Oryctolagus cuniculus: one gene and its partners. The protein of the gene in region 5 purifies or fractionates together with the protein of the main gene of each other region. This does not show direct contact. Links are inferred from orthologs where the notes say so. Each region holds a gene or a part of one and is shown on either strand. Other genes may lie near its edges.

Region 1 (5,343 bases), on a different chromosome or scaffold from region 5:
GCAGGTCAGAAACTTGATTTGACAGAACTTGCTAAGGATAAAACAGTGAAAAAGCATAATGTGAAGAATACAGCACTTGAGCCCTTGACTTTTGGACAGGAAAATTCCTTTCCTCATTCACATGCTTTCTCGTCTTCAGTGCTTACCTGTGTAGATGGCTTTCATGTGGAAGACAAGCCAAAAATCAGAGACAGAAATGTAATACCTGACACTCCTCCATCGACTCCTCTGCTACCATCCCAGGCCAGTTCTGAGTGGGATATTAAGAAGTTAACCAAAAAGCTGAAGGGTGAATTAGCCAAAGAATTTGCACCTGCTACACCACCTTCCACCCCTCACAACTCATCTGTTGGTAGTTTGTCTGAAAATGAACAAAATACCATAGAGAAAGAAGAGTTCATGTTGAAACTCATGCGGTCTCTTTCAGAAGAAGTTGAAGGCAGTGAAGATGAAGAGCACCCACAATTGGATGTGAAGTCAGAGCACTTGGGGAAGAAAGTTCAATTTGCCGACGGATTAGCTACACACATCATTTCTGTGGCAACTGAAATGGCAGCTTCCCACTTAGATAATAAAATAACTCAAGAACCCAAGGGTAAATGTGCTTACTTGGATGTGCAGAGTCAAAGAAATGCATCGCCTACTTTTTTAAATTGCTCAGCTGAAAATTTGCAAACATTGTGCAGTTTTGCAGGTGATATGGCAACAGAAGTCATTACAGAAGCTGAGAAAATTGCAAAAGCTAGAAGTTGCATGCTTTTTAGGCAGAGGAAGAACAGTTGTTATCTTGATGGTGACCGAGATTATCGATCAGAAGAGAGATTAAATATGGACGTTATAGCACACCCAAGAGAAGTGGACCCATTTCTTCTTTCATTACCACCAAGTTCTTGTATGTCAGGGCTGATGTATAAGTATCCCAGCTGTGAAAGTGTGACAGATGAATATGCAGGCCACATTATCCAAATACTAAAACAGGAAGGTGGTAACAGTGAGTTAATAATGGATCAGTATGCCAATAGACTTGCTTATCGATCTGTTAAGTCAGGATTACAAGAAGCAGCTAAGACAGCCAAAGTGAAGTGCAACGCAACAGTGTTTCCTGTGCAGAGCTCACAGGTGAAGACAAACAGTGAGCTGCTAATGCTTTCAAATAAAGAGCACCACCAAGAAATAGATAAACAAAGACAAAGTAAAAGAAATGGAGGTTACCTTTGTAAAACTCACACTTGTGAAAGGACACAGGATACTTACAGAAGTGAGTGCTCTGAACTGTGTAGTTTTTCAGCCTCTCTTGCTCACAGTATAGCAAGAAACGTTAAAAAAGAACTGACAGAATCCACAGTTGGCTTGCCAAAATCCTTAACAGAGCCTTGCCTTTATGACAGATCGGTGTGTGTTGAAGACACTGAGCATCGCATTGAACCAGAATTTCCTAAATCTCCTATGCCTTCCTCTCGGCATCACAGATTTTACCAAAGAACGGGCAGTGTTACTGGACATGGATATGGAGAGAATGTTGTTCAAGCTATAGAACAGTATGCTAAAAAAGTAGTGGATGACACTATAGAGCTAAGTTTAGGATCTGCAGTTTCCCAAGTGTCTGATGCCACAAGATCAGCAGATAGGCTCACTTATGCTGAAAAGCTGTCACCACTTATAAGTCGAGTTTGCAGATACTGTGACCTTAAAGAACTTCATGATTGCACCGGAAATTCATCTCAGCACTTTCCCAGACAGAGTTCACTTTCTTGTAGGAAGCCAATTTCAAATTCAAAATTTAGCAGTGTCTATCAGAAATCAAAAATTTTTCATCTTGATGTCCCTCAAATTCACGTTAACCTTGATAAGAAGACGTTGCTTGCTGAGAAGATAGTTGCTGAAGCAATTGAAAAAGCTGAGAGAGAGCTGAGCAATGCCAGTTTGGCAGCTGATAGTGGCATTGGGCAAGATGGTGTTAGCTTCGCTGAAAGCCTTACCACAGAAATAATGACATCAGCCATGACAGATGTTGGCCAGGCTGTTAGCTGGTAAGTTTCAAATTTAACATGAAAAGTTAAACTCGATTGTGTTAGGCCCTCTTTGGAGATACTGTTATTTTTAATCCTAAATTAACAAAAATTTTCCCTATTCCATTTGTTATTTCATATCCTGTGGCAGACTCATAGATTCTGTCTCCTGATCCCTTTTGAGCTGGAAGATGAGTTAGTAGCAGATCATTACTTTTACAAGTTCACAGAGCTATTGCGTAGGTAAAGTTGAATGAAAGAAATAGCTGGGGAATTTGGAATGTTACCATGTTAATTTTCTACTCTAAGGTTAAATTTTCATATAATGTTTTCTTTGCCTGCAAGGTAAGTTTTCTTGTAGACAGCTTGGATTAATCCTACTGCCCTGGGGCAGAAAACAGAAATTCTCCAAATACTTATGCTTCCTCTTTTGATCAGCTCACAATCTAAAGGGATAGTTCTTTTTGATAGTCTTTCAGGTCTTGTCTTTGAGTAGCTGTCTCTTGAGTTCAGTGATTCTAACAACTTAGTTAATGTTTTTACTTTTTTCCCTTTTCAAATTATTGACACATAATAATTGTACACATTTATGGAATACAAAGTGATAGTTTCAGTGTATGCAAGTGTAATCTAATCAGGACAGTTAGCATATCTGTTACCCAAAACACTTATCATTACTTTGTGTGAAGATCATTCAAAATCTTTTCTTCAAGCTATTTTAAAGTACACAATAAATTATTGTTAACCCCTAGTCACTCTAGTTTGTAAAGAACAGTAGAACTTCCTCCTCATCTTTACCTGTGTTTTTGTACTTGACAACCAACCTCTTTTTTTAACCTTATTTCTCCCTGAGAAAACATTGGTGCCAACCTGTGTTACTTGTTTGCAGGATTGTATTTTCTAAGTCTCACTGGAAAGAGAAATGCTCGGAGTTAAGGTGGAATTTAATGGATTTGTGTGCTATCCTGGATTGTTGAGTAGTTTTTGTCAAATGTGACTAGGATTGCTTCTTTTTTCAGTCATCTTCAAAGAGGGAGCTTGGCCAGGGCTCTTGAATCCAGTTGTTCCATGGCATCCTCTTGAGATGAGAGATGCTGCAGGTTTCTGGTGAACTTGGGGAGCTTTCTGTTTGCCAGATATACTCCACTGCTTGTTTTTGTATAGACTTCAAACTAAGAATGATTATGTATGACATGTGAATGTCCATGGGAAATTGTGTGATAGTGATTTTTTTTTAAGATTTATTTTACTTATTCGAAAGAGAGAGAGAGAGAGAGAGAGGGAGAAATGGAGAAACAGAGGTCTTACATCCACTGTTTGACTCCCTAAATGGTCACAATGGCCAGGCCTGGGCCAGGTTGATGCAAGGAGCCAGGAGCTTCTTCCTAGTCTCCCGCATGGGTGCAGGGGCCCAAACACATGGCCTTCCTCTGCTGCTTTCCCAGGCACATTAGCAGGGAGCTGGATCAGAAGAGTAGCAGCCGGGACATGAACCAGTGCCCAAATGGGATGCTGGCACCTAAGGCAGCAGCTTAACCTGGGAAGTGAATTTTTAGAAGGGCAGAACCTCTAGACTACATTCTGAACTATCATTTTTCTGAGCTAGAATAACCCAGCAGTCATCAAAAACTCTTCTCTAGACCTCATCCTGTGGATCATTTCAGCCAAAAGCCAAATGAATGTGACACATAACAGGAAAAGGGCTCAAAGAAGAAAGTAATGCTCTCTTGTGGTCCACAACTGTAATATGCCTGTCCTTGGACTGCCTAATAGAATAATGCTGATTGTTGTGTCTTAAGTAGAAAGTGAAAATAGCCCAAAGAAAGAGTGCAGTTCAGGAGTTGTTCTAGCTATTGAGCATTCAGAAGTTAAGTAAAAAAGGCAAAAAAAAAAAAAAAATCTGTCTTCTTTTGGAGTTTAATTTTTTAACACTTTTTTTTTTTTGAAGATTTATTTTATGTATTTGAAAGAGTGTAACAGAGAGAGAGAGAGAGAGAGAGAGAGGTTTTCCATCCACTGGTTCACTCCTCAAATGGCTGCAACGGCTGGAGATGGGCTAATCCGAAGCCAGGAGACAGGAGCTTCTTCCATTCTCTCATGTGGGTGCAGAAGCCCAAGGACTTGGACCATCCTCTGTTGCTTTCCCAGGTGCATTAACAGGGAGCTGGATCAGAAGTGGAGCAGCCAGGACTTGATGAACCAGTGTCCATATGGGTTGCTGGTGCTGCAGACGGTGGCTTAACCTGCCATGCCACAGCACTGGCCCCTCTCTTGAAGGTTATAGTAGACTGAGATAGACAATAGATAAGTATAATGTATAGTATATCACTTGGTGGTAAGTGCTTCAGAGGAAAAATCAAAGAGAGTAGCTCTGAGTGGAGTAGTTTGGGCTGGTTTGCAATTTTGAATAGGTAGCAGGGATTGCAGTGGTGGTATTTTAGGACTTTTGTTCCTGTTCTGATTGGTGAGAAGCCATTAGAAGCTGTTTTTGTTTGTTTATTTTCATCTATTTGAAAGGCAGACACACACACAGACATATATCTTTTACCTGCTAGTTCACTCTCCAAATGCTCACGACAGACAAGGCTGGACCAAGAGCCGAGAATTCTGTTGGGGTCTCCCAAGTGGGTGGCAGAGTCCCTAGCATGAGCCATCACCTGCTGCCTCCCAGGATACTTCAGCAGGAAGCTGGATCAGAAGCAGAGTAGTCAGACTAATACTTGAGTACCAAATGTGGGTATCCTAATCTGTGGCTTAACCCACTGTGCCACAATACCCACCCCCAGTGTAAGATTTTGATTAGAAGATTGACATTTTCCCTCTTCACATTTAAAGACATCACTTTGAACTTTTTTTAATTAAATATTAGGAGGCAAGCAGATAGGTGTTTTTTTTTTTTTTTTTTTTTTTTTTTTTTTTTTTTTTAAGATTTATTGATTTATTTAAAGATAGAGTTACAGAGAAAAGAAAGGGGAAGAAAAAGATCTCCAGATGGCCACAACAGCCAGTGCTAGGCCAGGCCCAAGCCAGGAGCCAGGAGCTTCATCCAGGTCTCCCATGTTGCTGGCAGAAGCCCAAACTCTTGGGACATCCTCTGCTACTTTTCCTAGACCATTAGCAGAGAGCTGGCTCAGAAGTGGAGCAGCGTGACTAGAACCAGCACCCATGTGGGATGCCTCTCATTGCAGGTGGTGGCATTACCTGTTACACCACAATGTCAACCTCACTTTAAACTGTTTTGAGGGTAAATTGAAGAGGGGGCAGTCATGATAGTTGAACACTGAATGAGTGGGTTATGATGATGGAGTAAAAATAGAAATGGTTCTTCATTGGA
Region 2 (5,995 bases), on a different chromosome or scaffold from region 5:
AGTCAGAGTTACACAGAGAGAGACGGAAACGGGGACGGGGAGGGGGAGGGGGAGAGGGAGAGGGAGAGGGAGAGGGGTCTTCCATCCGCTGGTTCACTCCCCAGTTGGCAGCAACAGCTGGAGCTGCACCGATCTGAAGCCAGGAGCCAGGAGCTTCTTCCAGGTCTCCCATGTGGGTGCAGGGGCCCAAGGACTTGGGGCATCTTCTACTGCTTTCCCAGGCCATAGCAGAGAGCTGGATCGGAAGAGGAGCAGCTGGGACTCGAACCGGTGCCCATACGGGATGCTGGCACTGCAGGTGGCAACTTTACCCACTACGCTTCAGGGTCCGCCCCAGGCACTGAGTCTTTATTCTAACTTTATCGTCCTGGTGTTCAGTTTAAAACAACAACCCAACAAACAAAAGGCCCACGACGTGGTTCACACATGCACCAGACGCCTCTTCTCAAGGCACAGGCTAACAGGCTCAGCAGGCGGACCCCACACCTTCTCTCAGCCACTTTCCTGGCAAAAGCATCCAGTGACTTTGGCCACCGTGACATCAGTCAGCCCATGGCCACAGAGATCACCGTCCGCTGCCACGCCTTCCAGGTAGAACAGTGGAAGTGAGAAACCAGCTGTCTACAACCACCACTCTGCACAGCACTCTGTACTCAGTGCTGTAAACAGTACTGTGCCACCTAACCACTTCCACAGCACTGTGCACTCAGTACTCGCTGCAGTACTTTACAAAAATGTACAGCCCTGCACTCAGTCCTCCGTACAGCACCGCACACCTGCCAACCTGCACAGGGCACTGGGCATTTGGCACTCTCTACAGCCCTGTGCTTCCAGTACTCCATACGGTACAACACGACCACCACCTCCATAGGGTATTCCACAGCTGCTGACCTCTGACCTCCACAGTATCATGTAGCCACTGACCTCTGACCTCCCGAGTATCATACAGCTGCTGACCACCACCTCCATAGAGTACTATACAGCCACTGACCTCTGACCTCCATAGATATTATACAGCCACTGACCTCTGACCTCCATAGAGTATTACACAACTGACCATCAACCTCCATAGAGTACTATACAGCCTCTGACCACCACCTCCATAGAGTACTATACAGCCACTGACCTCTGACCTCCACAGAGTATAATACAATCACTGACCACTGACCTCCACACGGTAATATACAACCGCTGACCTCTGACCTCCATAAAGTATTATCCAATCGCTGACCACTGACCTCCACAGTATCATACAGCCACTGACCACCCCCTCCATAGAATACTATACAGCCACTGACCTCTGAACTCCACACGGTAATATACAACCGCTGACCACTGACCTCCACACGGTAATATACAGCCGCTGACCTCTGACCTCCATAGAGTATTATTCAGCCACCGCCCACCACCTCCAGGGTTGTAATATACAACCGCTGACCACCGTACAGAACCACGCACTTTGCGAGCAGGGTAACACCTCTACCGCGACTCCCTCCAAACTTCCACAGGAGACAGGGCCGCCTCGAGTGTCACCCCGTAAGTCACCAGTGGCACCAGGCGCTGGAAGTGACCTGGTCAGCCCGAGCTCACGCATCTTCACGTGAGGAACCGGGACAGAAACTGGAGTTCTCTGCACCAGGGCCCTTCTCCGTGACGTCACACAGGAGGACACAGCACCAGGGCCGGGGGTGGGGGGAGTCGCCTCCCCCTGGACAGCAGCGGCACCTCCTGTCCACTACCACCCTGTGTGCACGTCGTCCTGCAACCCTGACAGGTGTCCTCTGCCGCCGTCGTGGGAACGCCGCCGTGTCCCAGGAAACCAGCTGACTCGGCACCCCTGCCCCGCGGGAGGGCCCCCACGTCCCGCCTGCCTCCACTGCGCCCGCGCAGCGCAGCTCGGACGGCCCGGTCCCGGAGCACCCGGCACCACCTCGCATGGCCCGGAGCACCCGGCACCACCTCGCATCGCCCGGGGCACCCGGCACCACCTCGCATGGCCGCACCACCACCGCCTCCTGACTTCAAGCGCTGGAGGCAGCGAGTGGGGCCGTCCTGCTTCCTCTGGCGTGGGACAGGCACTCGGGAAACGTCCGTGGACCGCAGGCGCGGAGGCGCCAACTCCCAGGGGCGCACAGGCCAGCTATCCGGAGCACTGCAGACAGCTCGTCGCGTCCGCGTCGGCTCCCTGGACGCCCGTCCCGAGGCCCCTTCACCAGGTCGAGCCACACGCCGCTCTCCCGGAGGGACCCAACGTCGGGTGACGACAAGGTCGAGTCTAAACGTTATCTCGGGCGCACCCGAGTCACGGCTTTGCCTGGCCTGCCTCACCCGTGCCCAGACGCACCGAACGAAGGCAGCGCGCACGCACACGGAGCCGGACCCCGCACACCCCACGCGTGCAGAAACACGCGCGGCAGCGGCGCTGGCTGACTGGGAGCTGCAGTTCACTCACTCCCAGGAAAAAAAAAATCGCAACTGGAAAGCGTGGCTTCCCCTAAACGTCTGCCCTATGCGCAGGCGCAGCCGCAGGCCGCGGGGCGAGGGTCCCCGTGGCCTCTGCTGGGTTCCCACCGAAGGCGCGAGGCCGCCGCGGGCTCCCACCTCGGGGTCACTCCACGCTCCACCGGGACTCCAGCAGCCACAGTTCCGGACGAGGCCCAGGGGTCGGGCAGCACAACGGGCAGTGCGCGCTCCGAAGCGGGGGTCCACGTGCCCCGTCTGCCAACTGGGCACCGCAGGCCACAGAAGCCGGTGCCCGCGGCCAGCCCCGCGCAGACGCCTGACGGAGCCCCCGCTGCTGGCCGGGCCACGCCGACCTGTCCAGTCGGCCAGCGCCACTTCCTCCCGGGATCCGGTGTCCTGCGGCGGCCGGGGAGCGCTCCGAGGGCGGAGGCCTCGTCCGTCTTGTCCACCCACGCCCAGGACGTGCGCTGGGCGGGAACGCCAAGTCAGACAAGGTCCCGGGACACGGACACGAACGCGTGACAGCGGAGCGGCCCGCGCGGGAGCCTCCCACGGGGGAGGTGTGGCTCGCGGCTTCCTGGTGCCCAGCGCCAGGCTGTCCTGGGGACAGGAGGGCCTGCACCGCGCCGTCGGGCACGTGCTGGACGTCGGCCGCGCCTGGCGAGGCCCGGTCCTCTCGGCCTGGCCCCCGCGGCTGTCCGCAGCGGGCCGGGCAGCAGGGGCCAGGCTGGCGCCGCGCACCGCGGCCCCTTCCCGGCCGGCGCAGCCCCGGGCCTCGGCCAGGGCCTCGAAGGCCCCCGCCGGCCGGCCGGGCCCCGCAGCGGCGCCGTCGGGGCGGAGGCGCGCGCGGGGCGGCGGCGGCCTCGGGCTTACCTCGGAATTTGAGCTCGTGCTGCGGCTCGAGGCTCAAGACCTGCTCCACCTTCGCCATGGTCGTCGGCGGGCACCTCCGGCCAGCAGACCCGAGAGGTCACCTGCGCCGCGAGCGCCAAGGCCGCGCCCCCCGGGAGAGCGACAGAGCGGGGCGCGGCGGGGGCGCGGCGGGGGCGCGGGCCGGGCGCGGCGGGGGGCGGCGGGCGGGGCGGGGGCGGCCGACGCGCTGCGGGCGCAGGGGCGGAGGGCGAGGGCGAGGCCGCGGTGCCCGGCGAGCTCACGGCACGCACGCACGCACGCACGCCGCGACGCACGCACGCACGCACGCACCCGGCCGGCTGGCTGGCTCGGGCCGCGGGAAGCTGCGCCCTGCGCCGGCTCCGGGGGGCGGGGCCAGAGGCTGCGCGCGCGGAGGCCCGCGGGGGGGGGGGCGGCCGGCGCGCAGGCGCGGCACCGGCGCGGGGCGGGGCTGCCTCGGGGGGCGGGGCTTGGCGGCGCTCGGGGGCGGGGTCGGAGGGTGCCCTGCAGGGCCGGCAGTCCAGGGCCGAGGCTGCGGGTGGACGGCCCGCTGGGGGCCGGCCGTGGCGACCACCAGCGGGACGGGGACAGTTAATGCACACTTGCACTTGGCTCCCGCGGTGCCAGGCGCCGAGGTTGTGAACACTGGGGGAGGAACTTGTTAGAAAGTGCGCGGTCCGGGCGAGGTACAACCAACTGCCAGCTACTGCCCGCTCGTTTTCCGCCGCTCTACCGGGTGCTTTTCACGTAAAAGCCACTGTGCGTTAAACATGTAACAGATGTGTAGAAAAGCCGTCGGCTAAGAGGGGGCAGATCTGCACCCCGCGACCGTGGCCGGGTGCGGAGAGGCAGACGCAGTGCGTGGCTGAACGCTGCCGGGGCCCAGATCCGCGTCCCCTCGGAAGTGGACGCTGGGCATCCTTGTTGCCTTTAGAGCCACTTCATTCTGTCACCCCGACGGCCCCTGTGCACGCGGTCCCGGGTGCCTCGGGAGGTGCCTGTCGGGTACGCGGTCCCGGGTGCGCTCGGCCGGCCCCCCCTGTCCGGTACGCGGCCCCGGGTGCCTCGGGCGGTGCCTGTCGGGTACCCGGTCCCGGGTGCGCTCGGCCTCCCCCGCCTGTCCGGTACGCGGTCCCGGGTGCGCTCTGCCGGCCCCGCCTGTCCGGTACGCGGGCTCCAGTGCGCTCGGCCGGCCCCGCCTGTCCGGTACGCGGCCCCGGGTGCCTCGGGCGGTGCCTGTCGGGTACCCGGTCCCGGGTGCGCTCGGCCGGCCCCGCCTGTCCGGTTCGCCAGCGCTGTTCATGCTGCTCTCCCCACTTCTCTGTGTGCTCCACGTTCTTCACAATAAAGGTGTTTTTAAAAAATCATCTCTGTCTTTCAGCTTGAGCGTTTGGACCACTAACACTTGTTATAGTCACTGAATGCCTGGACTGTATTTCTACCATGGTCATTTCTGTTTGTCCTGAGGGCTTTGTTGGTTGGTTTTGTCCTCTCCTTTCTTGCTTCTTTAGAGGTGACTTTTTTTCTAATTCTACTTTACACACTCGATTTATGTTGTTTGAGGAGTAATTTTACCCTAGAATTTTTGCCAGGTGTTCATATAAATTCATGTTTTAAGAATATCTGTACTCTGTCCCCTTGAAACGTAAGGGCTCTGGAGTCTGGAATCCTAGTCCCCGTCCCTAGGTTCTGGGCTGGAGTCCTAGTCCTCTGTCCCTAGGTTCTGGGCTGGAATCTTAGCCTCCCGTCCCTAGGTTCTGGGCTGGAATCCTTCCCCCATCCCTAAGTTCTGGGCTGGAATCCTAGCCCCCATCCCTAGGTTCTGGGCCGGAATCCTAGTCCCCCATCCCTAGGTTCTGGGCTAGAATCCTAAACCCCCATCCCCAGGTACTGGGCTGGAGTCCTAGTCCCCTGTCCCTAGGTTCTGGGCCGGAATCTAGCCCCCATCCCTAAGTTCTGGGCTGGAGTCCTAGCCCCCCGTCCCTAGGTTCTGGGCTGGAATCCTAGTCCCCTGTCCCAAGGTTCTGGGCCAGAATCCTAATCCCCCCATCCCCAGGTTCTGGGCTGGAGTCCTAGCCCCCCGTCCCTAGGTTCTGGGCTGGAATCCTAGTCCCCTGTCCCAAGGTTCTGGGCCGGAATCCTAGTCCCCCCATCCCTAGGTTCTGGGCCAGAATCCTAATCCCCCCATCCCCAGGTTCTGGGCTGGAGTCCTAGTCCCCTGTCTTAGGTTCTGGGCTGGAATCCTAGTCCCCTGTCCCGAGGTTCTGTGCTGGAATCCTAGCCCCCTGTCCCGAGGTTCTGGGCCAGAATCCTAGTCCCCATCCCTAGGTTCTGGGCTGGAATCCTAGCCCCCATCCCTAGGTTCTGGGCTGGAGTCCTACTCCCCATCCCTAGGTTCTGGGCTGGAATCCTAGTCCCTGTCCCTAGATTCTGGGCTGGAATCCTAACCCCCATCACTAGGTTCTGGGCTGGAATCCTAGTCCCTGTCCCTAGGTTCTGGGCCAGAATCCTAGTCCCCGTCCCTGTGTTCTGTGCTTGAGTCCTAGTCCCCATCTCTAGATTCTGGGCTGGAATCCTAGTCCCCATCCCTAGATTCTGGGCTGGAATCCTAGTCCCCTGTCCCTAGGTTCTTGCTGGAATC
Region 3 (6,059 bases), on a different chromosome or scaffold from region 5:
ACCTTAACCACTATGCTAAACAGCCACTCCAGAACCCCGCTTTTTAACAAAGGAACTATCAGTAAAGTCAAGTGCAAAAGAGATCAAGTGAAATGAAAAGTGCAAACCAATAATGCAGTTGGCAATCAGAAAGTAATGGAGCAGAGGAGGACAGCAGATGAAGGAGGACTGAACAGGAGGTGAGGAACCAGTGACCCTGGACTACTTTTCCAAGTGTGAATGCAATGGAAATCAAAGACTGGGAAGGACAGGTACTAGGAGTTGGGGCCAAGGAGGCATTTTGTTTGCTATTTGTTTTCAAAATGAAAAGACAGTGTATTTGTATGTTTAAAAAAAAAAAAAAAGCTAGTCACTGAAAACATGAGAAAGGATAGTACATGGTGTAAGTATGAACCATGACCTTCCCCAGCAAAAACAGGAACAAAGAACCTCAGCTATGGAAGAGTTTTTCCTTCTCAGGAAAAAAGCACAGATGTGTACAGATGTGCAGGTGTTACAGAGGAGGCATCACATCACAGAAGGGCTTGTATGCCATCCTCATAAAATAGACTTGTTCCTATAGGCAACTGAGAACTACTAGAAAACTTTTAAGGAACAGAGTAATGAGATTTATGCTTCACTGGGGGATGGAAGATCTCTTTCTCTCCCTTTCAAATACATAAATAAATCCTTAAAAATTACATCCTTATAAATGCACTTTCATATATTAACAATTGCACAAAACAGTGCCTTCTTAAATACTGAGATTTGTAGAAAAAAACTAAGCTGGTATCTCCTCCAGAATTATGCAAAGTGCTGACAATTCATCTTGAGATAAATGAGTTCCAGAAACAAAGGGATCCCAGCTCAGAAAAATTAAACGAGACACTCCCGAAGAGATCATCTTATTTTGAGACAAAAATAAAATGAAAATGAATTTTGCAAGGGCCAAGCATTGTGGCCAGCAGGTTAAGCCACTTCTTGGGATACCCGCAACCCTCCTATCCAACTCTCTAATGCATCCTGGGAGACAATGGATGACAGCGCAAGTGCTTGGGACCCTGTCACCCATGTGGGAAAACAGGATGAAGTTCCAGACTCCTGGCTTTTGCCTGGTCCAGCCCTGGTTGTTGCAGCATTTGGAAGTGAACCAACCAATGGAAGATTTTCTCTCTCTCTCTCTCAAGTAGATAAAAATCAACATTTAAATTAAGTATTCAAAAAGAATTTTGCAAAATGCACTTTTAACAGGCATTCCTTTAAACAAAAAGTTAAGGGTGATTTAGGACAAACGAAGTCTTAGTGTCATCATCAAACCAGGCACAACAAATAGACGGCTGATTCTAAATAAGTCTCTTCAGCTGGTGTTGTGCCGTCCACTTAAATGTAGACAAGTTTCCACCACAACGAAAGGCAACCTTTGAAAAACACTGAGGAGGCAAAAAACCAAGCACCAAAACTGTCAGCCACTAGTTTACTGCACTGCTCCTCTCCCCCAATCCTCGTGCTCCCCGTGAACCCACCTCTAAAGCAGCACACACTCCCTGAGAAACTTCGGTCCGCTCTGCGCCTGGCATTCTCCACTGCAGTGTTTACTCAGCCACTCCCTTAGCTCAGCCCTCCAGACAACTGGAAAGCAGCCTCTTCCCGGGCGGCTTCCGAAAGGTGGAGGAGGGGGGCCTTGCTCCTCAGAGGTGTTTGCGCCTCGGTAACGTGGTCTGCACTCACTGGCCTTTTCTGGACGACTTCTTCCACAAGGCGAGAACAACCCGTTCTAACATCACAGCTGTGTATTACCAGGTACTCACAACACGTGAAATGCATGAATAAGACAGTTTCTAAGTTTCTGTTGTGGAACCTGCTTCCTAAGTTACTGTGTGTGTCGTCGTGTCTTTGGTTGTTTTCTGAACTTGCTTCTCCACTATGAATATTACCAAAGCGACATCATAACCTCTCTAGGGAGAAACCTGTCAACTGCAGACATCCTGACCTAAAATTTGTTTTAAAGGCTTCTAAGTCCTAATGACAATCCATCTATGCTTATGCAGAAGCTGCCTATTGTCAGCCAGTCAAAACGTAAAATCAAAATGCTCTTGAAAAAATATACATCACATTAAATTCCTTCAACTTAAGACAACGGCTACTTGAGTAGGGTATAATTACACCATATTCCTCAAAGGTCCCCCTCCCGCTAAAACTATGTACTATCATGGAACAGGTACACTTGCTACAATAGAATGTGCTGGCTACACCTCAAAATATGCCCTAAGAGTTGCCTTTCGAACAAAATCCTTACCTAACAGCTCACTTAGGTTTCCATTTAGATTTGCAAATTCACTCAGTTTGCAAAGTCATCATACAACTGTTACTCTCACAATGCCAGAAGATATTATTTTTCCATTTCCTAAAACTATTTTAAAATTTCCTCGCGGACTTTTCTTTTGGACTCAACTCTACACAACAATAAAGGATTTCAGTTGTCTCTTTTAGCACTGGAGTTGCCATACACCGCACCAAAATCGGTCTCATCCAAGCTACTGCAACTGAAACACAAGACCCTGCCTTCCAAATCGGGGATTCACTTTGCAGTCAACCAAAGAAAAGACAGAACCTGCTTTCTATTTAGATCTTCGCACGATGAGGATTCCTTTAAAAAAAAAAAAAAAAAAAAAAAAAGTGTAACCTGTTTAACTCGTTTCCCTAAAGTACCCTGCATACGGGAAAGCCAATGGACCAAACGGGGTCACCAAGACACACCGATCACTCACTCCATCACAGGCAGAGCCCTGAAATCAGCAGAGTTCCAGAGCTGGGTGTCACCTTATCACCCTTCTCAGGGTTTGGGGGGGAGGGGGGGCCGCAAACGCAAAGGCCAAAGTCAGCAGAACTCGAGTGGAGGGCTACGAAGGCGCCGCCACGGGTCTGCCGCGCGCGGAGACGTCACGGCCGAGGGGCAGGCAGACCCACTCCGAGCAGCCCACGGCGATCCACTCGGGGCTGACGCAGGCCTTCCCGGCCCGCACGCGCCTGGGGCTCTGCCAACACCTCCGGACCAGTCCGGAGCGCACTCATGAGCGCTTCTCCGCCTCCCCCGGCGCTCCGGTTCCCTGACAGCTGAGTTACCCACGGGACAAAAAGGCGGGCAGCGACGCCCTCCGCCAGGACCCAGGGGCCGGCCCCACCCAGCTCGCCCGGGCCCGAGCTGCGGCCCTCACTCCTCCCGCGGGTCCGAGGGCCGCCGCGCCCGCCCTCGCCGCTGACAGCCAGACGCCGGCCTGCGCCACCTCCACACGCCCCGCGCCGCTGCACACCCGGGCGCACGCTCGCGGGCCGCCCCTCACCCACGCCCGCCCCGGGCCTCGGGGGCCAAGGACGCGAGCCCGCGGCCGACTGCACCCGGGAGGCGCCCCCGCGGGACCGCAAGATGGCGGCGGCGGCGCCCGGGCCGGTTCACCCCCACCACCACCACCCCGCCCGCCTCCTCGCCCCGGCCGGCGCGCGCAGCGAGGCGCGGGCGACGGAGGGAGCGGGCAGGGGCTGGCCGGCCGCGGGAAGGCGGCGAGGGAGCCGCCGGAAAATGGAAAGCGCCCGGGCGTGGGGGAGGGGGCGCTCCCTGGGGCCGCGGCCCCAACCTGCCCTCGAGCCCTCTGCTCGCCCCCTCCCTGCCCGGAGGTGTCCTCCTCCTGCCTAACCTTTGAATTTGAGGTCTGTGGGCGGGTCGAGGACCAGGATCTGCTCGTGCTTCGCCATGGTCCCGGAGGCGGACGCCATCGGAGAGACAGCGCAGAGCGGGGGCGCGCCCGCGGCGGCGGCGGTTTGCTGGCTGGGGGCGGGGGACGACGGCGGCGCCGGCTCGGCGGATCTCTACGAGGGGGCCAGGCTCACGGATCCCGAGCCCCGACGCCTGCCGCTCTGTCGCCGGTCTGGTGGGTCGCCCGCTGGGTCAGCAGCGCCGGGTCTCACAACTGACTCAACCCCACACCAGCCGCCGCGGCCACGCGCACTGCGATCCTCGGCGCCCCACGTGACAGCTTCTGCGTGCCTACGTGCGCGCCCCGGCGGCCGAGAGAGGCTCTGGCGTCCGTCCCGCCCTCGAGGCCTGCCTAGCGCGGCACTGGGCTGGTGCGCCTGCGCGTCCCCGGCCTCGCGGCCGCGAGCACAGTCCAGCTGTCAAGGGAACGGGCGTGAACAGAGGGCGGAGTAAAGCCCGCAAGGGACTGGCGCCCTTCGCAGCGCTGGGCAAGAGGCGCAGCCCTCCGTCTCGCTGAGCGCAAAGTGCGAAACTAGGGAACCTGCCACGGCAATGCATCACCATTTTTCAAAAGGAAATGCCTAATGGAAGGAAGTAGCCGGGAAGCGCCGATTCACTACAACTCCCAGCATGCTCCTTGCCGGGGGAGGACTCTCCGCCGAAGGACTGATCCTTTGCGGCCTTGCGCGGTGCCTTCTGGGAATTGTAGTAGCGGCTGCTTGCGGGCGGGAAGGAGAATGAGGTCCGTTGGAGAAGAGTGGGGTGGGGCCCGCCGACTCTCTTTTTGGCTCTCAGACAGCGTCTCGTCCGCGCTAAAAAAGAAAAAAACTTTCGAAGGCTGACTTGCAGCTCCCCCCCAACCCTTACAGCAGGGATTTGTCAGTTTGCTCTGTAGTTCTATCCACCCGTCTATTGGTAGGGCTGAATTTTCTGTCGTGTTCCCATCCAACCTCGCCTGCTTCCTGAATTCGCTCCAGTGATGCAAAGAGAGATGAGGAAACGGACCTCGTGAAAGAAGCAGAGGCGCCTTGGGGGAGATATGACAAAGCACATGTTAGAACGCGAGAAATGAAAGTCAGAATCTGCAGCGCTGAATTCAGTTGCTGTATTCTGTTCTTCAGTTTTGATTAATGACGGATCCGAACCAAAACAGTTGTCACATTCACGTGTCAGAAACGAATATCATCTGCATCACTTATGATAGCCTGTAGTAAACTGAAACGAAAATGAAGAAAATCCCCGCCGCAAAGTTGCTGACAAATCATCAACCGATTGCCAGGGTAATCGGGGACAGGAACAGCAAATGAAACAAATGAATGCGTTGCAAATAAATCATTGCATTGTATGCTGCTGCTTGAATTTAAATCCCTAGGAAGCATCAGAAAACAAAGGGCATTGATGCTGGTGCCATGAAGGAGCAGCCCAGTTTGTCTAGAAAACAAATGAGACAAATGGAACAGCAGACGGGACAGAGGCACAAAGTCCGACCTTTCCTGTGCAATCCAGGTACCAGAACCCATCCGGAAATAGCTCTGCAGATCAGCTAATCCAGCACACACAGGAAACTGTGCCACACAGGAGGAACAGATCTTCAGCCACAAAAAACCTGGAAGGATAGGCAGGCTTAAATAGTTAGAAACACAGATGCTAAATTTGTTTTCCCTTTGATTTTCTTTACTCACAAAACATTTTTGAAATGCCAATAATAATCAATGAAGGAGAATCCAAAAATTGTATGTTTATAGGAGAAGGGCTTAAGCCTAAAAAAAATAGATTGAGATTGTCAATCAGTCCACAGAATGGTTTCCCACATACGTTTACTTATTTATTGAGGATCCTAAAAGCCTTTGTAAATCACAGTGTCTTACCAGTGTCTTTCCCAGGGACAAGCTATCTGTTTTAAGGGGCCTCTCCACAGTAAGGCAGACAACTCTCTTAACCAAAAACATTTGAGAATCACCAGTGTGCAAACAGCCAATTAGCAAGACAGCGTGCGCAGGAAGTTCCCAATCACTCCCTTATGAAACAATGGTTGCCCAATCTCAGGTTTAATGGGAAGCCTGAACTGGATACATTCCAGTTTCCAGTCCATATCATTAAGAAAGCTCTGCCCACTTAAGTCATCCATCTTTAGAACCCACAATTTTTCTCCTCTCATTGCTTCAAAAATTGTACAGGTACAGTCTTAAAATGAGTAAGAATTTGTATATCTAGTATTTTTTTTTAAGATTTATTTATTTGAAAGGCAGAGTCACAGGAAGAGGCAGAGAGGGAGGAGAGAGAGAGAGAGAGCGAGATCTTCCATCTGCTGGTTCACTCCACAAATGGC
Region 4 (5,781 bases), on a different chromosome or scaffold from region 5:
AAATAACTACACAAAACTTTATGACTCATAACACTTTAAGGATGTCTATAATTAAAATTAAGTGTGAAGACTAAGAAGCACCAAGGAATATTAATTCCTTCCATTCAAAAATCGACTGCCTGGTTTTCTTCAGGGAGAGAGGGCTGGCAAGTCTCATTAAAGAGGCTCACCTCCGCTTTGCATCTCCACTTCTGCAAACTACAAAGTTAATCCCATGCCAGAAACCGTAAGTGGACAGACACAGTCTCTTAGAATCGAACCCTGAGTCACTGCACGCAAGTCGTTCCGAAATTTGCTAGTTAGAACCTAGCCAGCCCCCTGGCTCCGGGAGCCCCAGCTGTGTGACCTTGGAGGAGTCACTGCCCGCTCTCCGGGCTCAATGTGCCCATCTGTAAAATGGGTTAACACCTCCTACCGGCAGCACACGGGGTAAAATATCCCCAAAGCCGTGAGAGGAGTGCCAGCCACCATCTGCCCTAATCTCTACATGCGGAAAACAATGCAGACGGGGGTCTCTTCCGACCGTCGGGGCGGAATTCCAGAAGCAAACGGTGCTGGCATTCCAGCGCTGCACCTGCAGTATGGGAGTCCTAGGATCCAGGGACGGGCGAAAGGCACAGGCAACCACTGACTCACTAATTTTGCCATTTTTAACTGTTTCAGGCTGGAGGGGGCGGGGGGAGGCCTTCGCCGAATGCTCAGACAGTCGGCGGCCCCGGTGCCTGCGAAGCCTCGGCGGGTCTGTGCCTATAAATAGACTCGCGAAGTTTTGTAGCAATACACAGGTATCAATTTTAATTCGCGTCTCCGCGGCGGCTTAAGCAGGTCACCGCTCCCCCGCACTCCGGCCCCAACTTCCGAGCACGCCGCGTCCCCCGCCCCACCCCCACCCGGCGCGGACCCCCGAGGGCCGCCGAGCCAGCGGGCCCCGACCTTCGCCGGCGCCCGGCGCGGCCCCGCTTCCCTTAACCCGTGCATTGTCCTTGCGAAGAACCCCGGCGGCTCCCACACTGGTGGGGACCTAGAGGAGGGACGAGGGAGGAGCTGGGGGAAGAGGATGAGGAGGAAGAGGAGGAGGAGGAGGAGGAACACAGCCTCCTCCCTCCGCCCCGGCGACCAGAGAAGGCCCGGCTCCCGGGAGGCCGCGGCCCCCGCTCCCACCCTCCGCAACTTTCCCTCCGCGCGCACCCGCCGCCCCGCCGGGACCCGGCTGCGGGCTCCCTCCCCCGGCGGCCGGCCCCGGGCCCCGCGGCGCCTCCTCCTAAAATGGCAGGTCCCTCCCTCCGCCGGGCCCGGCGGAGCCGAGCGCCGGGCCGGGCCGGACACTCACCGGGACGATGGCGGGGCGCTCGCGCCGCTCCCTCCGGTGAGTCTCAGCCTCGGGCTCCCGCGCCGCGCTCCCGCCGCGGCCTCCGCAGCCAGCGCCGCCCCGGCCGCCTCTCGCCGCCCCCGGCGCGGCCGGCTCCTGGCCGCGCCGCAGCCTCCTCAGTCTCTCGCGCTCGCGGGTCCGGCGGCGCCGGGGGCCGGGGCGGCGACAGCCCCCTCCCCGGCAAATACCGCAGTCCCCGGGCCCCGAGTCCCGGCGGCGGGGCCGCGCGGAGGGCGGCGGCGGCGGCGGCGAGGCCGGGCGCCGAGTGGCGGCCGCTGCCGGCGGCTTCTTCCCGAGGAGGATTTTGTAAATCGCACAAAATGGCGCGCGCTCCAAACCTGCGCAGCGAGGAGCGCCGGGCCCGAGCGGCGGCGGCGGCGGCGGCGGCGGCGGCTTCTCCGCCAGGAGCGCCCGAACCGCCCGCCCCCGAGCGCCCGCACAGACAGACAGACACTCGCACACGCACGCACGCCCGCTCGCTCGCACACACACACTCGCACACTCACACCGGTCCCGCCCGCCCGCCCGCTCGCTCGCTCGCTGGCCGGCGGCGGCAGCGGCACCACCAGCAGCAGCAGGAACAGCAGCAGCAGAAGCGGCGGCGGCAGCGGCGGCGGCGCCCGCACCCCCCGCTCGGGGTGTCCGCTCCCCGAGCCCGACCTGGGCCGCGATCAGCAGCAGCGACGGCAGCAGTCTCCCCGGATCCCCCCGCCGCGGTTGCCGCCGCCACCCCCGCCTCACTCCAATGGGGCTTTTTATTATTATTCGGGCGGGAAGCGAAAGGGTTTAAAAAAAAACCAACCAACAAAATGGCGACGGACCGACCCGGTCGCTATGGCAACTGTCAATCAAAACGCAAAACCCCGGCTGACGTGCTGACGTCCTCCGCCCGCCCCCCCGGCCCCAAGCCGGCGGGCGGGGCTTGTTGCCCGGGAAACGGCAGACTTCGTTCCCTCCTTTCCTGCTCCCCCTCGGTCCCCAGCCAACCACCCAACCCCCCTCAGGTCACGTGAAGGATAAATTCGGAGCTCGGGCCCGCTACGAGTGTCAGAGGAGGGCGCGTGATTCGCTCGGGGGAGGGGTGCGGAGGGGGACGGCCGGGCCGAGGGAGGGAAGGGGAAGGGGGCGAGGCGGCGGCCGGGCCCGTGCGCGAGCGCCCGCCGCCTCCCCGGCCGCCTCGCCCCGCCCCGCGCCCGCCGCGCCCGCGCCGACTGCGGCCCCGGGAGCGCGCGCGGCCTCCCGCGCTTCCGCGTCGGGCGCCCGCAGCCCCGCCCGCGCCGGGGGGAGGGGCGCGCGCGGCCGCGGGGCGGGGTGGGGGGGCGCGGAGAGGGGCCGGGGCGCCGGGGCCGCCGCCGGGCGGGAAGCCGGGAAGCCCACCCCCGCGCGCCCGGGCCCGAGGGCTCTCACCGCGGTGCGGCCGCCTGCATTCCCGGGGAGCGCGCCGGCCGCGCACGGCCGCGCGGAGGAGCCGTTCTCGGAAGGGCTCGCGGCCCCCCTCGCCGGAAAATGCCCACGGAGGCCGCGGCGGGGGCGGGGAGGAGGCCGCCCGCGCGCCTCAGACATCCCAGGAATCCCGGGCGCCGCGGCCGCATCCGGGGTGCCCCTGCGGCTGACGCGCGGCCGGGCCCTGCCACGTGGGACCCACGTCCGAGCCTCCGGGCCGGCGCGCCCCCTCCCACTGCAGACCCCGCGTGGGTGCCGAGCCCGTCCTGCGCTGCCCGCGGCCGGAGCCCTTCCCTAACATCCGGCTCCTGGTGCATTAGCCCGTGGACCCCTCCCCATGCTGGGCGTGCTGGGAATTGTCTGCTGTGCCACCCCCGCCCCCCCAGGTAATGGTGTTTAATCAGCGTTCGTCCGGGCTTGCACGCAGCGAAAGTCGCTAATCTGGTGGTTGATTTCTAAGCCTGACTTTGCCGTGTGCAGGTAGTGTCCGTGTCGGGGTCTTGGGCTCAGTCTCTTCACAGACTAGCCACAGACACAATCTGACAGACGACACAGGTGTAAGAGGAGAAATCCCAATGAAAGCCTCCAGCCTGTGTAAATTTCCAGCAGAATTCCCCTCCCACAGTCTGCAGGTACAGCACTGATATATTAAGGCGATCATTCAAATGAGCAAAGGCCCTGAAGTAATCAGACCAGACCTTAAATAAATTTGGCAAAAAAAAAAAAAAAATTAGGCAAGTGGTTAGCTTCAGACTGATTCTCATGACTGGTTAAAAAAAATAAAAGTTCTGGATTGCTGGTGTTTTCAAACTTGCCCTCCTAATGTAATTGAGGTCTGCATACAGCTTCGCATCTAAGGAAGAGGAAGTGGCCAACAGTGTCCCTATTCATGAAAGAGGTTGTCACCCAGTGCTTCCCAAGCTCAAACTTCCACCTGGAAGACAACCCCTTCCTCCCTCCACCTGCTCTCCTGCCTTCTCCCCACTCCAGCCCATCCGCCAAGGTTTCACTGCTGCCGGACACTTGAGCAAGTGCCACCTTGACCACTAAGTTATTCCCGAGTCAAGTTTTCATTGCTAGCAATGGAGGAAGCTTGCATAATGCACATCTAAGTAACCGAGACAGAATAGGACAAGATCGCCGGGAGTAGATCCTCGCCTCAGATGGGTCGAGGGGCTCATGGGATGAGGGAAGTCTTCAGGTCGTAGGCACACAGGGGTCAGAGGCGTCCCCAGTGTTCCCGTGTAGAACGCTGCTCATTTCTCTCCCAGCGTGACTGCCTTAGACAGCATCGCACTGCGTGCCCAACGGGTTTTGTGTGGGCTTCCCCTAAACACTACCAGCAAGTTATGGCTGGCACCAAACAAGAGAACACACGTAGCCAGGAAGGACGCTGGTATGGATGCCAGTGTGGTGCAGAGCTGAGAGACCCTCCCCGTGGGTTTCGCTTAGAGGTGTTTGATGGCCTAAGAAAATCCGGAGAAGCAGAATCCCCCAACTGGCAGTTACTATCGGCTTGCACTTCTTCCCACGCCTGTTAGAGGTCTCATCCTCACTATAACATTGTATCTCGGTTATACGGCTGAGAAAGCAAGCCCTGAAGTGACTCTCCCAAAGCCGGCCCACCCGTGAGCAGGGGAAGTCAGAATTCAAACCCAGGTGTGGCTGTAAAGGCTGTGTTTCGGCAGACTGTTTGGAAGCAGAGTTGTCACAGAGATAACCCTGACTAAAGGAGGTCTCTATGATGTGCCCTGGTCCCAGATGACTGGTGCCAGTGTTCTTATCTCTGCGCTCACAATTTCTGACACCCCTGATGTTCTTACAGACAAGTGAAGCCCTTCATCGCCCTGCTTGTACAAGCGTTATTCACTGTTCTGACTTTGGGGCCTGCCATGTGGCACAATCAGTTAAGCCTCTGCCTGCAGCACCAGCATCCCATAGGAGTGCAAGTTCAAGTCCTGGCTGCTGCACTTCCAATCCAGCTCCCTGCTAATGCACCTAGGAAAGCAGCAAAGATGGCCCAAGTTTTTGGGCCCCTGGACCCAAGTGGGAGGCCTGGAAGAAGCTCCTGGCTTCAGCTTGGCCCAGCCCCGGCCATCGTGGCCATCTGGGGAGTGAAACAGCAGGTGGAAGACCTCTCTCTGTGTCTCTCTCTCTCTGTCTCTCTCTCTCTCTGTGTAACTCCGACTTTCAAGTAAATCAATAAATCTTTTTAAAACGTTGTTCTGACATTAAAAGTAATTCATGAATATAAAAACTTATTAAAAAGAAGCAAAGTTAAAATGAGAGAGGCCCTATATAAACTCACAATAGGGGTATGCTATGAACCAAGAAGTTAATAAGCAACTATATCCAAGTTCCAAACAAAAACTAAAAATTAGATTCTGGTAATTACCAACAATTTTACCATACAGAAAACAGTAAGTAGGCTAGGATCACCAGTAGGCATCACTCAGGAACACACCCCCTTTGTATGTTCATAACAGCATCCACCCTTCCGGACTTTCTTAAGAAGACATGTGTGCACTGACACACATTTCACACCAGCAGGTGTGTTCATGCCTTGTCTAATTACAATTGTGCTATGAACTCATTTTTGTATTAAACAATTGAAATTTAAATAATAACATTAATAGCAGTTAGTATTCCATCGGTTGAATGAGCCGTCATTCACTAAGCCTCCTCTATATTTTAAGGAAGTTTCCATTTTTTCTTGTTATTACAAAAAAAGTTGTATAAACATCACATATATATATTAAACATATATACAGACACACACAGAGTTATTTCTCCCGGATAAAGGGAGAAAAGTCCTTAAAAAAAAAAGTTGGACTCATGTTGACAAAGAACTTCGGAAGGAAACAGCTGTTTGGCCTAAACAGCTGTTAAGACACCACTTGGGATGCCCTCATTCCATATCAAAGTGGCTGGATTTGGGTCCCACTCAGCTTCCGATTCCAGCTTCCTGT
Region 5 (5,915 bases):
TTTTAAACAGGGAGTTCGGGACGAGAGAATAAAACACGTACAGAATTTTCATTCTTCCAAATTCAGTGTTTCACTCAGTGCTGCTGTGGGGCCTGGGCTCGCAGGCAGCAGGGAGAGATGGCCATCTCGGCTCCTGGAGTGGGAGCCAGTGTCCCTGCAGAGGCAGGCTGCTGAGGAGTCAGGTCCTTCGGGGAATTTCATTCAGTGCTCCCTTGCAAAAGAAAGCATGCTGCCGGGGGAGTGTGTGACCGGTAAACAGGCAGAGAATTACAAGTGAAAGCAAGCACAAGGAGCAGCACCTGACATTCCCTGACCCATCCGAGTCCTAATGTCACACAGCACAGGACCAGACTGCCCGCTAGTAGCTTCATCACAATTTTTTAAATCCCAAAAGGAACCCCAGTGGAGTTTTTAAAGTAACCTTTTCATTCTGGAACCTCTCAACACATTCCAGTCCTAAATGAGAGGGGAAATCCTTCAGAGCGGTGGGGGAGGGCAGGGAAGGGAAAGACCCCTTAGGACCAGAATACTGTCAACAGAGCTCACTCGTGTGGGCAGAAAAATGCTAAATAAAGCATGTTAAGTTTCAAGCCTACATGGAGATCCACTAATTAGATCCCATGTAATGGATTTTAGAAGGTTCAAACTACCTTGAGGAGAAGTAAACAGAAATCTAACAAGGAGCAGCTAAGCTTATCTAGAATTGAAAGCATGGTAATTTAACAACAGGACCATCACAGCTTCCCTCTGGACTCCCAATTATGCAGTTAAATTTAGAAGAGAAGAGTGTTTCCCCACCACTCTGCAAATGAATTCAACATCAATCACACTTTTCTAATTACAATGCACACAAAACCAGACACCGAACTGTAAATTTAAAGAAAAATACTTAACAGCTATTCCAAGTGCTACACCTTACTCTTTTTGCTTTGACAACTTTCAGGATAAAGGTCAGTAACAAGCAGACTAACACACAAACCAGGAGAAAGTTTGGGGCTCCCCCCTGACAGGCACATAAACTTCAAGCCATGGAAAAACAATCATGCTACTACTTAAGAAATAAACACGAAAAAGGAAAAATTTTGAAGTGTATTTCCTTTAGATTTATACCAGCTGCTCTTCCAGGTCGGGTAACCACATGACCTGAAAATCCACTTCGGCAGAGGCCCAGTTCAAACAGTACCGGAGGCCAGCAAGAACAGGGATAACTCGGATCTTTATGCCTCGAAACACGCGGGCACACTGGAGGCTTATCAGTACCGGTATTCAACTGATGACAGAAATCGTTCTCTAAAACTGGCTCTCCAGCTGGTAGAGACCAAAGAACTCGCCCAAGAGGCGAAACTGGTTCTTGCTGGTTTGAAACAGACCAAGATATTAGGCGGGGGAAAAAAAAAAAAAAGCAAAAACACAACACTGGGAGAGATAGGACACGAACAAAAACACCCCGAGATTAAAGAAGCCAGCACGTGAAGCCCGAAATGTCCAAATGTCGTGGGCTTGGTATTTTTAAGGGAACAGGCCTGAATTAACTCTGTGTTTGTAAAGGGCCAGAGAACTCTGCTTCTCCCCGCCCTCCAAAAAAAAAAAACACGACTTCATATTTCAACATTTTCGCTACACGGTTTCTACCGAAAACCAGCCAAGTGTTTCCTTCCAGAAATCCAGGCGTGACAACCATTTCCAAAGCGCAACTTCGAGGCAATATTTAAGACCCGTTCTGCGCAAAGGGCTCCAGATTTCGGGCCGCACCCCCCTGGGGGTCACCGACAGGAAGCCTTCGCTCGTCCGCCCTTCGCCGCCGGACAGCCCCGGCTCGCGCGCCCCGGGCCCGAGGGGTTAACGCCCAGCTCCCAGGGAGAGGCCGCGGTCGCGACCGCCGCGGGAGGGGACAGCGGCCCCTCGCCCGGCTGCTCCGGCCGGAAGGGACATCGGGAAACCCAGGGAGGTGAGAGCGGACGAAGACCGCCGCGCGCGGGGCAGCGACCGAGACGGCCCGGAAATCGGCGAGGAGGAGGAGGAGGAGGAGACAGCCTCCTCGGCTGGGTCGCGGGCTCGGCCGGCAACGGACGCGGCTTCGCCCAAGACCGAGCTGCCGTCGCTGCCCTTCAGCAAAGGGGCGAGGGCGGCCGAGGAGGCCGCGGCGCGCGGGGGCGGAGGCGGCCGGGCGGCCTGGGGCCGGGGGACCGCGCGCTGCGGGGCGGCGGGGCGGCGACGGGACGGCCGGGTGCCCCGCACCGCAGCGGACGCCGCGGCGGCCGGGAGCGGGGATCTCCGGGGTGCAGACCCGGAGCCGAGGGCGTGATGCCCGCGGGGAGCGGCTGGGGGTGCGGCCGTCCCCCTGCAGGTCGCTCCCCGTGACGCCATCTTGGGTCGGCCCAACCCCCCCCCCCAAAAAAAAAAGAGGACGCCGCGGTGGCGAAGGCCGGCGCCGGGGTCTCTAGCAGAACCTCCTCACCTGCGGACGCTCGGCGGCGGACACGGGGCTGCGAGTACGAGGCTGCGGCGTGCGGGGCTCCCTCACCGACTGCTTCCCACCCCGCTGCACTCCGCGATAACGGCACGGCGGCGGCCCCACCGGAAACGACCCGGCCGCAGCCAATCAGGGCTCGGCTGCTGACGTCAATGGGCCTCGCTTTGGCCCGCGCTGTCGCCTTGGCAACGTTAAAGGCGCAGCGGCCCCAGGGCCTCCCCCGGCCTCCTTCCAGGGACCCACGCGCCCCCCTCGCCCCCGGAGTCTCTGCCTCGGCCTCTCCTCGTCCGTTATCCGCAGCCTTTTCTTCACGCCCGTCTCTTCCCGCACGCCGCCTGGCCTGGGTCTTCCCTCCCACCTGGTCGGGCACCTGGGCCGCCTTACCTGTCCTATGCAGGTGTCTCGGGTCCTCTATTCTGTGCCTCTCTTGGGCTCCTCTCCGCGCCCCCCGTGTCCCCTCCGCGCTCCTCGGCTCCTCTCCTCCCACTCTCCTGCCTCCCTCCACGCCTCGGCCTTTTCTCCCTCCCTTCGCCCCCTCCCCGCCGGCCCACGTGGGGCGCCTCTGATGACAGGTGGGCGACTCCGCCCTGCGGCCCGGGCAGGGGGGACGCCTGCAGCTTCCAGGCCCCCGGATCTGCAGCAGCTGCGCGGCGGCCAGAGCTCGGACGGATGCCCGGGACGCGCACGCCCTGCAGCGCAGGGCTCGGGGCTGGGCACCGCCATCCGGTCCCGGAAATCCGAGCCCCGCCGCGCCTCGGCCACACCATCCCTGGGGGGACGAGACCCGGTCACGGACGTTGTCTTTCCGAACCCCAAGCGCCCCAGGTCCTCACGCCTGGCCGCGGCCCGTGAGCCGTGCCAGGCCCCGGGTCTCCGCGGCGGCGCTGCCTGCGCTGGGGGCATTCCCCGGGGGGCAGAAAACGACCTTCCTCCTTCAGCCATTTCTTTGTTTTTCCTCTCCATCAGAGCGTCTGCCGGTGGAGGCCGACGCGTGAAGCCGCTACATGGGTAGAGAAATCCCAGAGTCTGGCCGGGAACCGCGGCTCGCGTCGCGTTTCGGTCCCAGGCCATAGGTGTAAAATACAAAATGGACTTAACCCTCAAAACCAAAAGATCTCATCAGTAATTTTTAGATGGATTCCGGGTTGCCATCATAATGGTTTTGGATATTATTAGCTTCAGCGATCTTGGAATTTATTTCACTTTTGTTTTGTTTTGTTTCTTGCTCTTTTAGTGGAGTTGTTTTTAAAGCTGCACCGCCTTCCCTCTGCTCCCTGGAATCCCGCGATTAGAGACCTACTTGTCAGACCACTTCTTTTCTCCAGCGAGGTCCGCCCTTGCTTTCTAATAGAGGAAGCATTGGCCATGCCGGAGTTAGGCCTTGAGCCGGACAGCGCAGGAACCAGCTGCTGCTCCCCCTGAACCCCATATAGGGACCCCTGGCCTCTTTCCAGGGATGAGTGGAATGGGGGATTAAAGATAGAGCCCCAGTCGTGTAGGATTTCACCCTCGTGGGTACAAAGACGAGCTGACAAACCCAACGCTAAGCTGGCAAGCAGGAGGGGGAATTTGATAGCATTGAGCAGGCCCAGTCATGTTCCAGGAAGAAAACACTGCAGGCAGACAAATCAGTTTGGTTTCCGGCTCTTGCCATCACCGGTAATTGAGTTAATCTCCCTTAGCCTCAGTTTCTTCAGTGGGAAAAAGGACAAACAGGGCAGTGTTAACGTTAACTGATGGGAGATAACAGCGAACACACACAGCGCTCGCCGTGTCCAGGCACTGTTCACATTAATAGTGGACTTGCTCCTCATAACACATTTGTGATGTGGGTGTTCTGATTACTGTTACAGAAAAAAAAACAGGACACACCGAGACATTAAGTGACTTGACCTAGGCCACGCAAGCTAGACACAGCCAGCGGTCGGAAATCAGTCTCCTTTTACATATTTAGTGCTCCATACAGTGTGGGATACATTAAATAAATGTTAGTTACTTCCTACTTCTCCCTGTTACAAAAGAGCCACCAAGTTCAGTCTGAGGGATGCTGTGTCACAGCTTTAGTATTGCCTTCCTACAGCAGCTGAGACCCTTAGAATAAGGAAAGGAGCAAGCTGGTGACATTGAACAAGTGCTTTGGTTGACGGCTGCTTCCTTGCTAAGACCGGGCGGTGTGTGCCCATTCAGCTACATGCAGGCACCAGTCCAGCCACGGGCTGTTTCCTGTGTCAGCGCCTGCAACCTTGTTCTAGCTGCCAACTCCGCCTATGCTGGGCTTTGGAAGACAAAAAGGGAAACAGCGTAGAGAGTCGAGCCTGGCTGGGGAGAGTTCACCGAGACAGCTGTTCTGAAAAGCCAAACAGCCTCGCTGCTTTCCAAATGGTGCAAGTGATCTTTCGTGCCATGGGAACGCCAACTTGTAAATTACCTTTCAGAAATGACTCCTGTTCCACTCCGGTTTCTTGATGGTTTCCCTTCTCCCCGGCCTTCTGCCCTTGACTCGAAGCTCTGTTCGCCTTTTCTTTGGCCTGTATCTCTGACAGGCTCAATAAAGTAACTTTTTTTTTGACAGGCAGAGTGGACAGTGAGAGAGAGAGACAGAGAGAGACAGAGAGAAAGGTCTTCCTTTTGTCATTGGTTCAGCCTCCAATGGCTGCCGCGGCCGGCACACTGTGGCCGGCACACCGCGCTGATCCAATGGCAGGAACAAGGTACTTATCCTGGTCTTCCACGGGGTGCAGGGCCCAAGCACTTGGGCCATCCTCCACTGCACTCCCGGGCCACAGCAGAGAGCTGGCCTGGAAGAGGGGCAACCGGGACAGAATCCTGCGCCCCGACCGGGACTAGAACCCGGTGTGCCAGCGCCACAAGGCAGAGGATTAGCCTAGTGAGCCGCAGCGCCGGCAATAAAGTAACTTTTCAGAATAGTGGGACTGCAAGTAAATTGTCCTCCAAAATAAAATTCCATAATTGCTGTTAAGTATCCATGAAACAACAGCAAAATGTTGTTTAAGCAAAATAAACATCAATGATACGGGTTATAAGCAGAAGGAAAATTAAAAATGGCTACAATGTAAAAGGGAGGAATACTTTGGTAATCTATTTCTTAGTTAAGTTTCCATTGGTGGAGTGGACACTTAGTCCAATGGTTAAGATACTACTTGGGGCCGGCGCCGCGGCTCACTAGGCTAATGCTCTGGCTGTGGCGTCGGTACTCCGGGTTCTAGTCCCTGTTGGGGCGCCGGATTCTGTCCCAGTTGCTCCTCTTCCAGTCCAGCTCTCTGCTGTGGTCCGGGAGGGCAGTGGAGGGTGGCCCAAGTGCTTGGGCCCTGCACCCGCATGGGAGACTGGGAGGAAGCACCTGGTTCCTTGCTTCGTTTCTGCTCAGCGCACCAGCTGTGGCGGCCATTTGGGGGTGAACCAACGGAAAAGGAAGACCTTT

The links.
Region 1: the proteins of PRKAR1A (region 5) and AKAP11 purify together in Homo sapiens (affinity purification with mass spectrometry; 3 studies listed by BioGRID and IntAct, counting the BioPlex papers as one, with this or other methods). This does not show direct contact. The link is inferred for Oryctolagus cuniculus from reciprocal best matches to the Homo sapiens genes PRKAR1A and AKAP11.
Region 2: the proteins of PRKAR1A (region 5) and VAPB purify together in Homo sapiens (affinity purification with mass spectrometry; 3 studies listed by BioGRID and IntAct, counting the BioPlex papers as one, with this or other methods). This does not show direct contact. The link is inferred for Oryctolagus cuniculus from reciprocal best matches to the Homo sapiens genes PRKAR1A and VAPB.
Region 3: the proteins of PRKAR1A (region 5) and VAPA purify together in Homo sapiens (affinity purification with mass spectrometry; 3 studies listed by BioGRID and IntAct, with this or other methods). This does not show direct contact. The link is inferred for Oryctolagus cuniculus from reciprocal best matches to the Homo sapiens genes PRKAR1A and VAPA.
Region 4: the proteins of PRKAR1A (region 5) and DYRK1A purify together in Homo sapiens (affinity purification with mass spectrometry; 6 studies listed by BioGRID and IntAct, with this or other methods). This does not show direct contact. The link is inferred for Oryctolagus cuniculus from reciprocal best matches to the Homo sapiens genes PRKAR1A and DYRK1A.

Annotation. Positions count from the first base shown.
Region 1 is NC_091440.1:61,458,515-61,463,857, forward strand, and holds part of AKAP11 (A-kinase anchor protein 11), read left to right. Parts: coding exon 1-2,030; intron 2,031-5,343. UniProt on the Homo sapiens protein: Binds to type II regulatory subunits of protein kinase A and anchors/targets them.
Region 2 is NC_091442.1:3,792,386-3,798,380, forward strand, and holds the start of VAPB (vesicle-associated membrane protein-associated protein B/C), read right to left. Parts: upstream 3,620-5,995; 5' UTR 3,395-3,619; coding exon 3,337-3,394; intron 1-3,336. UniProt on the Homo sapiens protein: Endoplasmic reticulum (ER)-anchored protein that mediates the formation of contact sites between the ER and endosomes via interaction with FFAT motif-containing proteins such as STARD3 or WDR44.
Region 3 is NC_091441.1:67,078,526-67,084,584, reverse strand, and holds the start of VAPA (vesicle-associated membrane protein-associated protein A), read right to left. Parts: upstream 4,032-6,059; 5' UTR 3,751-4,031; coding exon 3,672-3,750; intron 1-3,671. UniProt on the Homo sapiens protein: Endoplasmic reticulum (ER)-anchored protein that mediates the formation of contact sites between the ER and endosomes via interaction with FFAT motif-containing proteins such as STARD3 or WDR44.
Region 4 is NC_091435.1:7,581,177-7,586,957, forward strand, and holds the start of DYRK1A (dual specificity tyrosine-phosphorylation-regulated kinase 1A), read right to left. Parts: upstream 3,586-5,781; 5' UTR 2,777-3,585; intron 2,247-2,776; exon of another isoform or gene 2,172-2,246; intron 2,096-2,171; exon of another isoform or gene 2,030-2,095; intron 1,455-2,029; exon of another isoform or gene 1,331-1,454; intron 1-1,330. UniProt on the Homo sapiens protein: Dual-specificity kinase which possesses both serine/threonine and tyrosine kinase activities. Exhibits a substrate preference for proline at position P+1 and arginine at position P-3.
Region 5 is NC_091448.1:11,159,159-11,165,073, forward strand, and holds the start of PRKAR1A (cAMP-dependent protein kinase type I-alpha regulatory subunit), read right to left. Parts: upstream 3,990-5,915; 5' UTR 2,858-3,989; intron 2,643-2,857; exon of another isoform or gene 2,459-2,642; intron 1,405-2,458; exon of another isoform or gene 42-1,404; intron 1-41. UniProt on the Homo sapiens protein: Regulatory subunit of the cAMP-dependent protein kinases involved in cAMP signaling in cells.